Cricetulus griseus: one gene and its partner. The protein of the gene in region 2 interacts with the protein of the main gene of each other region in a pairwise test. Links are inferred from orthologs where the notes say so. Each region holds a gene or a part of one and is shown on either strand. Other genes may lie near its edges.

Region 1 (4,045 bases), on a different chromosome or scaffold from region 2:
TGCTGGCCTCAGTCACTGCCAACATCCATTGTCTCTCCTTTCTGAATCAGGGAATCAAAACAGCACTAAGGTATTTTTAATGGCATTGTCACTACTCTAGGAGAAGTCAGCTGGTGGGCACAATAAGAACAAGTGATTCTTTTAAGGATTGCTTATACTTATTACACAGTCTTCATCTCCATTAAAACATAGGAAAATCTTACATCTTATTGCATCTACTTCTTACTAAGTCTTTAGTGGAATGAATTACAATGAAAAAGAATTACTACTTTACTATGATGTTTAAAAGTATAGAGAAAGAATCAAGTATTACGAAATCTACATGTATCATATTTTAAACTGTATTTCAAGCTACAGTTAAGCCTCCCATCTATAGAGTTCACTTAAAGATCTATTTCTTATCTTCTTAAATCAGTGAAATTGCTTAAGACTTTTTTTTACATATAGCCATGCAAATTCACAAATCTTGTATTTCTTTTTTGACACAATCAAATAATATGTTGGTTAGGGAAGATTACTGCTGCAATAGATATAATCAAACTGGTATTTCACCCTTCAAAAATACAATAGCAATCACTGTCTTGTAAAGCAAATAAACATCAAATATTTATATTGTATTATCTACTAAAGTCCTGGGAAAGTTGTTGAGTAAGTTAGTTGCTATGCTCAAATAAGTCAGTTGTGCCTTGTTTCATGGAAGTTTATTCTCTTCTCGTTCTCTTTCTGTCATAAGATTTACCTCTTTGAAAATAATCTCAAAATAATATTCCCTATTTTTAAAATCATGAAAGACAAAATGTGATATCCTATACTTTGATTTTTCCCCTTCAGTGCTTTCTGATAATATAAGGTTGGTCACAGTGCGTGATATAAAATACTAGTTGTTAACTCTCAGTTACACTAAAGGGGCCAATTTTTTGCAGACTGCCAGGATAAAGATGATTTTAATTAAATCCCACAAATCCCTTTGTACTGCAACCAAACCCTCTGCAGGCCAACTGTCTCTGAGTCCTTCTGGCATGTATAGAGTTAATCAGGTTACGGGGGGGGGGGGAGATCCTAGTTAACTTCTTCCACCAGGAATGCAATTCATGTTTACCTATATAAGGAAACCTGTTAGGCTGACCTGAGTTTGGCATATTTTTTTTTTTTTTGCTCTGACTGAGAGGCATGTAAGCACACACCCTGGAGAGGGGGAGCGATTCCCAGCTGGACAGAGCAAGCTTCCTGAACGCCCCAGCCATTCAGCTGATCCGAGGCGAAGAGCAGAGCTGGTACTTGCCCGGAGCAGCCTGCTTGGCGGACCCACAGGTTTGCCTCTTCCAGCTCTCAATTGAGGGACAAACCCCCATCCTGGGAAAAATGGGGAAGCCGGTGAGTTTTACTGCTCTCTCTCTCTCTCTGCTTGCTTCTGCTAAGGGGCACGCCTCGCTGCTCTCACCCAGGAAGCAGAGGGAGAGGCGTTGCTCAGCCTCTAACCCCACAGCTCCTTCCTGAACAAACACAATGCTTTGCCGCGTACCTCCAGCTAACTTTCTCTGCGGGCTTTGCACATCAAAAATCTACCGAGGCAGTAATTCTAGCACCTTAGACATCCCAGAAAGTGTTTTTACTGAGCAAGAGTTTCCAGACCACCGTGATGAGCAAACTTTCTCATCTTTCTTGCGCTCTGAAACAGTGCAGATGAGTTTACGGGGGTGCTTGGAGAGAAACGCTGAATCCCCAAGGAAGTAAGAATAAATCTTAGAGAGTTTCTTAAATCCACAGGCAGGCTGATAGTCTGCGGAAACAGAATTTGTCATTTAAAAAGGCAGTTTGAAGCTATAATTTTTCATTCCCGAGGAGCAAAATACTTGGATCCTGTACGTGTAATAAAGGACACCTTCTGAGACACCGAGGAGAGAAAGAAGCAGAGCTGGCTCCTTTGTTCTAGACAACAACGTATAGAAATTCACTGTTGCATTTTGACAACTAGCATATGCCTGCTTATATATAAGGTGGAAGTGATGAATAAGGCATTATGTCAAGGGCACTGTGGTCAATTGAGTTAAAAATTGGCTGTGCTCTACACATATATAAAACTCTCAGTCTGAATGTAATTAAATATGGGAATGTGAAAGTACTTAGCAAACTTAGAGGGAAATTTAACTTACTACTTGGGAATAGTCAATTATAAAAGGCAACTTGTGAAAGGAAATTTGAAAAACCAAAAACCTGTTTCCACAAAGTTCTGAGGCATAGGTAAAAGTTAAAATGAAAGTTTTCTTATACTTGTCAAAAGTGATTTGAAGGTACAAATTTGTAATTTTTATTTTTGTAAGGCAAGGTGATTTTTTTGAATTGAGTTACTTTGGATAGTTTTGCTAAATGGTGTGACTGCTTATCTTTCAAAGGAACATTGTTCTTTTCTGTCACACACAACACTTAATTCTAAAAATTTGTGCAGTAGCGATTTTGCTACTGACTGCAACAGGTGGCAATGAGGACCTGGTTGCAGATTTGCAATGATGAGGATTAATTTCCTAAATTAATATAAAGGAAAGTAATTGATGCAAAAATGTTTTGAAAGGAGAACACTTTTATTATTAATTGCTAATAATATTCCACTTTTCTACTTGTAGCAAGACTATTGTCTTAATATAGATTGGCAGCTGGCTAGTCATACGGACAAATCTCTGGCCAATTTTACTTAGGGTCCTTGATTCTAAACAGTACAACTATGCTCAGTAACACAGTTTAAATGCTGCTTGCTTACTGCGGTGAGAAAAAAGTGGGAAAGAATCATATATTATAAGGGAGACATTTTATTAAATAAAATTCTAAATAACAGGAGCAGTGAGGGAACAATGCAAATGTTTAAAGCTTGTTATCTGCACACTACTGCTAGGGGGGCAATGGGAGTCTTAATATTGTGCTGCTATCAGTGGGAGTGAGTAGCCCAGGAGACACAAAACACTATTTTAAAATATACCCTTAATAACAGATGGTTTAATACCAGGTTGTCTCACCATGCTGCCGATGAGATGGCCCCAAGCCAAATCAACTGGCATGTCTACCGTTTTTCCTGCGAGTGGATGTGTACATTGTTATTACATACTAATTACATTAACAGCCAAGGGAATATATAACCAGGAAGACATAAGAGTCTCCTGAGCCACAGAGGGTGAGGGTCTTTACAAGGATTTTGAATTTCACACTTAGAAACCTCCTTGCCTGTGACATGAGTTGCTGCAGATGATTGGAAATGTTATCTGTAGAATCTATGCATCCCAGGCTCCTTACAAGCTCATTTTGGGGTAACAATGCTGATTATGGAATGGGACACTTCAGAATTATCAGAGTTCCGGGTAGATTTCATCTTGAAGATTAAATTCATTTAGTGTTTAAATTGTTCTCCAATAAAACACAGTTAGGATGCTACATTTTTACATTAACCCTTTCAAGTCACTGGTAATATGTTCTGGTGTGAAGGGCGCAACATCCTTAAAACTATGAAAAGGTTTTCCTGGGTTTTGAAATTAAAAAAAAAAGACTAAAGAATTCTGAGCAAGGGAAGGGATAGGTCTTCTGATAACTTTGATATGTTCATAAGTTGTGAATTTGTAAAAGCAATGTGGTATGCAACCTACAAAGCACAGTTAGCTACAAACTTACTAATAGTTCCTGGACCAGGCTTCTTTTTGTGGGGGTATCTGGTTATATCAGGACACATTCTTTAAGAAAAAGCTAGCCAGAAATTGAGAACATGGGAAGAGAGGGAAGAAGAGGAAGGATGTAGACGTCATGAGGGAGCAGAAAGATTGAGTCAGAGGAAGAATAGAAGAAAGGGCATGTGATAGGAAGGGTTTTAGTTGGGGGAGGTGGTAGGGGAAAATGGGTGGGAGAAAGGAACTGGGATTATCATGTAAAACAATCTTGTTTCTAATTCAAATAAAAAATGATTAAAAGAAAAAGCTAGCCAGTAGATGGGGTGCTGAGCACTGCTCAAGTGAGTTGCACACATGCCTACTTGTTTATATTTCTTGGCATGTTGTCTATCGAGCTG
Region 2 (4,109 bases):
ATCATGACATAGTCTTACTACTAATTATGAATGTTTGGCCTTAGCTTTAGGCTTGTTTCTGCTTAGCTTTTTAATTGAAATTAACCCATTTCTATTAGTCTATGTGTTGCCCTGAGGCTGTTCTTCTGTCTCTACCTCCCAAGTGTTAGACAGTGTGGTCCATGTTTGTAATTCTAACACTGAACTCTTGGTTTGTTTGTTTTTGTTGTTGTTTTTGAGAGACAAGGGTCTGACCATGTAACCTTGGCTGGTATGGAACTTGCTCAAGCTCACAGAAATCTGTCTGCCTCTGCTTCCTTAGTGCTCAGATTTAAAGTCACGTGCCAATACACCTGGCTGACTTTTGAAACACCACACATAGCTGGCAAAGACCCTGGAAGAGTCTAACAAACCAAAGGAGTTGAAATATTATATAACAACAGGTCATTTGCAACAGAATTGGACTAAGGGTACACATAGCTCAGGAGAGTACGCAGAGCATGTCCAGCGAGACCCATGTTTTGTTGGTTTTTTTTTTTAATTTTGTTTTAGACTTATATACACTATTTTATGTGTATGCCTGTGAGTCATAAATGTCCCTGGTGCCCAAAGAGGTCAGAAGAGGGCATATGAGCCCTTGGAATTGGAGTTATAGATAGCAGTGGTCTGGCATGTGAATACTTGGAACCAAACTCTCGTCTTTCTGAAAAAATAAGTGCCTTTTTTTGGTTTGTTTTTCGAGACAGGGTTTCTCTGTGTAGCTCTGGCTGATTGGAGCTCACTATGTAGACCAGGAAATCTGTCTTCAACCCCCTAGTTCTGGGATTACGAGCTGCTGTGTATTGAGGTCAGGGGCTCTTGCTTCCAAAGCATGTATTTCACCAACTGAATTTTCTCATCACCTCCCTAGCATCTGGTCAGCAGAGGTGGACCCAACAGGTTGTCACTGATCACTAGCTGACGAATGGATTACAGACGTTAGAGAACAGTAAATGATGATGCTCCCACAGTGATTCAAGGGAACTCAAACAGGAGGATGTTCCAAGCTAAGGAAGTGGATATATCCTGAAGACACAAATCATCAGGGTTTACTGACAAACCTGATGTAGAATGAGAAAGAGGAGCCTTGAGCAAGGGGAGGCTAATGTGCTAAGAGACTCCATGGAGCAAGCAGTGAGATGTCAGGTAGACAGGTGGATATAGGGATGTTAGTTTACTGAAAGAACTATGTCTGAGAGAAAAAGCTGGGAGTAGTCATCAAATGCATGGTTTCAAACCGGAATCTGCAGACAGCAACACAGGAAAACCTAAAACTCAGGCCTGCTCTGGTCACAGAGCAAGTTCAAGTCCCGCATGAGTAACTTAAGGAGACACAGTATCGTAATTTAAAAACAAAAATTTAAGGGCAGGTGTGGTGTCAAATATCTATATTGCCATCAGTTGGAAAAACAGAGGCAAAAATCAGTAGTTCAAGGTCATCCTCACCTACATACAGAGTTTGAGGCCATCCTGGGAATGAGACCCTACCTCAAAACAAGGAAGTAAAGCTACTATGGCCCTAAAGCCATATTCAATCATCTCAATACTGCTTTTAGAATAAGAAGGCAAGACTAAGAAACTGGAGGTCAACCTTCCCAATGAGACAAGTATCAGGTACTTTCCCACTCATCTCTGCCGCCCACCCCCACTCGATTCTAAACTGTTTTCCTGCCTCGGTTAATGGAACATTTCCCATGTTTTTTATATCTTAGTCGGCAGGGCACAAAACTGGGGTGCCTGGCCTGTTGAATTAATGGCGGGTTTGTTGTTGTTGTTTTGAATAGGAATATATTCATTTTCTTTTACTGTCTCGATCGATAGAGGTATACCATGTATATCAGGCTGATCTGGACCTTACTATGTAGTCCACGAGGGCCTTCTTCTGCCTCAGCTTCTCACCTGCTGGGATTACAGGCGAGCACCGCTGCTCATTGCTGGAATATGTTACTCTATTTAATATTCTCTGCCTTGGGGTAGACTTCCGGTGCTAAAAGCAAGGACGAGTACATTGTTTATTTCGGTATCAGAACTGCCTAAACTCTTTTTTATTGGGGGGGGGGGTTTCAAGACAGTGTTTCTCTGTGGATCGAACTCACAGAGATCAGCCTGCCTCTGCCTCCCGAGTGCTGGGACTAAATGTGTGTGCCACCACCGCCCGGCTTAGAACTGCCTGAACTCTTAACACAGTTCAAAGCATTGCACAGGAAACACAGTCATACTTCACAAGCCCAGAGAATAAATACTGGAACTTGGTGTGAGTGATTACTTCCTGTTGGAACTCTGAGGTAGGTTCCAGAAGGTACGCGTTGAAGTGAAGGACCACGCGGGAAGGAAAAACTGCCTCCTCTTTGTAATTCCAAACCCGTATCCGGATGGACTGAGCTAGTCCGGCCCATGCCACCACTCCAGCCCGTGTCACTCACCCAGCCGCGTGGCGCGTTCCCGTGGCTTTGCAGGCTGGTCTGCAGTCCCGTGTTCAGTCTCGAGCTCCTCCTGCTGTTGCCTGGCTTGCTGCAAAATGCGTCTGCTCAGCCGGGGTCCAACATACTCTTCCTCCTCTTCAACCCCGCGTCCCCGCCGCTTGTCTCGGGTCCCCGCGCGCACTGCATTCCCAGCCAGAATCTGCTCGGCCAGAGGTGCATGCTTCTCCTGATTCCGGGCCCCGCGGGCCACCTTCAATTTGGGCATTTTTCTCGAAAAACTTGCCGATGCTACTCACACGTGGGAAGCCGGTTTAAAACTAGGACTGTGTCTGCGCCCTGTGTTCCGGTGCTCGGGAGGTCACCGAGAGTTCACAGCGCCCCCCAGCGTTCGGAGGCCGGAAGTGCCTCATATACCGCCATCTCTCCAGGAGCTCCGGGGCGGGAGCTGGACTCCCCAGATTCTCAGGTAATCTCATTGTACGGAAGTGGGTGGATGTCCCAAGTCACCTTTTCCAGACAGAATTCATGAATGTAGCCTGAGAGGTCCTGTCAAAGCAAAGCGCGCCCTGGGGGCGGAGCCGGGCTGATGACGGAATTCGTTCATCGCTGGAGCGCCCGGGCACGCCTCCCTTCTGTGGGTGTACCGCTCTGGCGCTCAGATTTTGCGTATTTCCGGAGCCTGCATCCTGCTTTAGGCGGCTCTACCTCCAGGGGCCTCTGGATCCCTTGACTTCGAGTGTTTGGCAGTGCCACCCCTTTGACCCTGCGCCATGGGAGTGACTTGGTAGGACTGCAGGGGCTCTTGTGGGACGGAGCTTGGGGTCGTGAAGGCCCCAGGAGGGGGATCGGGACGGAAGCTCTCGGTTCCTCGCGGGCTGACAAAGATGTCCTCGGGTCGTGTTGCAGCAAGGGACGCCGTGTGGTGCTTCTTCCTTCCCAGGCGCATCCTTTTGGCAAAGCCAACTCTTCATTCCAGGAACCTGTCAGGAGTCGTACCTTCTTTTTCTTGGTACTTCTTCATGTCCGTCAGGCCATAGTATTGTCGCCAATAGGACCTAAAAGTTGGGAATAGGCTTTCGCACTAAGAATTATTTGCAGGCAGCGATAAAAAAGAGGGGGGCGCTCTAGGAGAAAGTGACTTTTACATTTTGCTTGCAGTAATAATAGCCTGGCTTTAATTTGGTCTAATGTCAGAGGGAGAGGAAAAGGAGCTGTTGGAGGTTTGGAGGTCGGGGTTCCAGGCACATTAACTATCCAAGAATCACTTCCTACATGTTTGAGTCAGGTTTGGGTTTTTTTTTGTTTTTTATCTGAAACGTGTTTTAAATCTCACTTGGAAAAAGAGAGGTGATTGGTAATGTCTGGACACCGTGCTTTTCTTCAGGGCATTAATTCCAAAGTACTAGGCTTCAGCACGTTAAAAAAAATCTTGGTAGTGGTGTGTGTCTTCCCAGCTGTTCTGTATAATGTGTGTGTGGGATGTTCTTCAGGAAACCCAGGCTCTTGCAGGGTTTTTAGTGACTACTATACGTGCAAATTAGTTGACACCAGGAGCCTTATCTCAACCTCATCACACCGTAAAAAGTACCTGTCAGCAGTGAAAATAGAAATCACAGCAGAGTCACTGGGCCCTATAAAACATTTCTGTATATGTTTTTATGGGCTGTC

The links. The genes of interacting proteins can lie anywhere in the genome.
Region 1: the proteins of bystin (region 2) and Mid1 interact in binary tests that used the Homo sapiens proteins (3 or more experiments, as listed by UniProt). The two-hybrid records come from large-scale screens. The link is inferred for Cricetulus griseus from reciprocal best matches to the Homo sapiens genes BYSL and MID1.

What each region holds. Positions count from the first base shown.
Region 1 is NC_048604.1:104,293,820-104,297,864, forward strand, and holds the start of Mid1 (E3 ubiquitin-protein ligase Midline-1), read left to right. Parts: upstream 1-1,244; 5' UTR 1,245-1,374; intron 1,375-4,045. UniProt on the Homo sapiens protein: Has E3 ubiquitin ligase activity towards IGBP1, promoting its monoubiquitination, which results in deprotection of the catalytic subunit of protein phosphatase PP2A, and its subsequent degradation by polyubiquitination.
Region 2 is NW_023276806.1:255,579,858-255,583,966, reverse strand, and holds the start of bystin, read right to left. Parts: upstream 2,803-4,109; 5' UTR 2,707-2,802; coding exon 2,442-2,706; intron 1-2,441. Other genes in the region: mediator of RNA polymerase II transcription subunit 20, read left to right, coding at 3,212-3,225. UniProt on the Homo sapiens protein: Required for processing of 20S pre-rRNA precursor and biogenesis of 40S ribosomal subunits. May be required for trophinin-dependent regulation of cell adhesion during implantation of human embryos.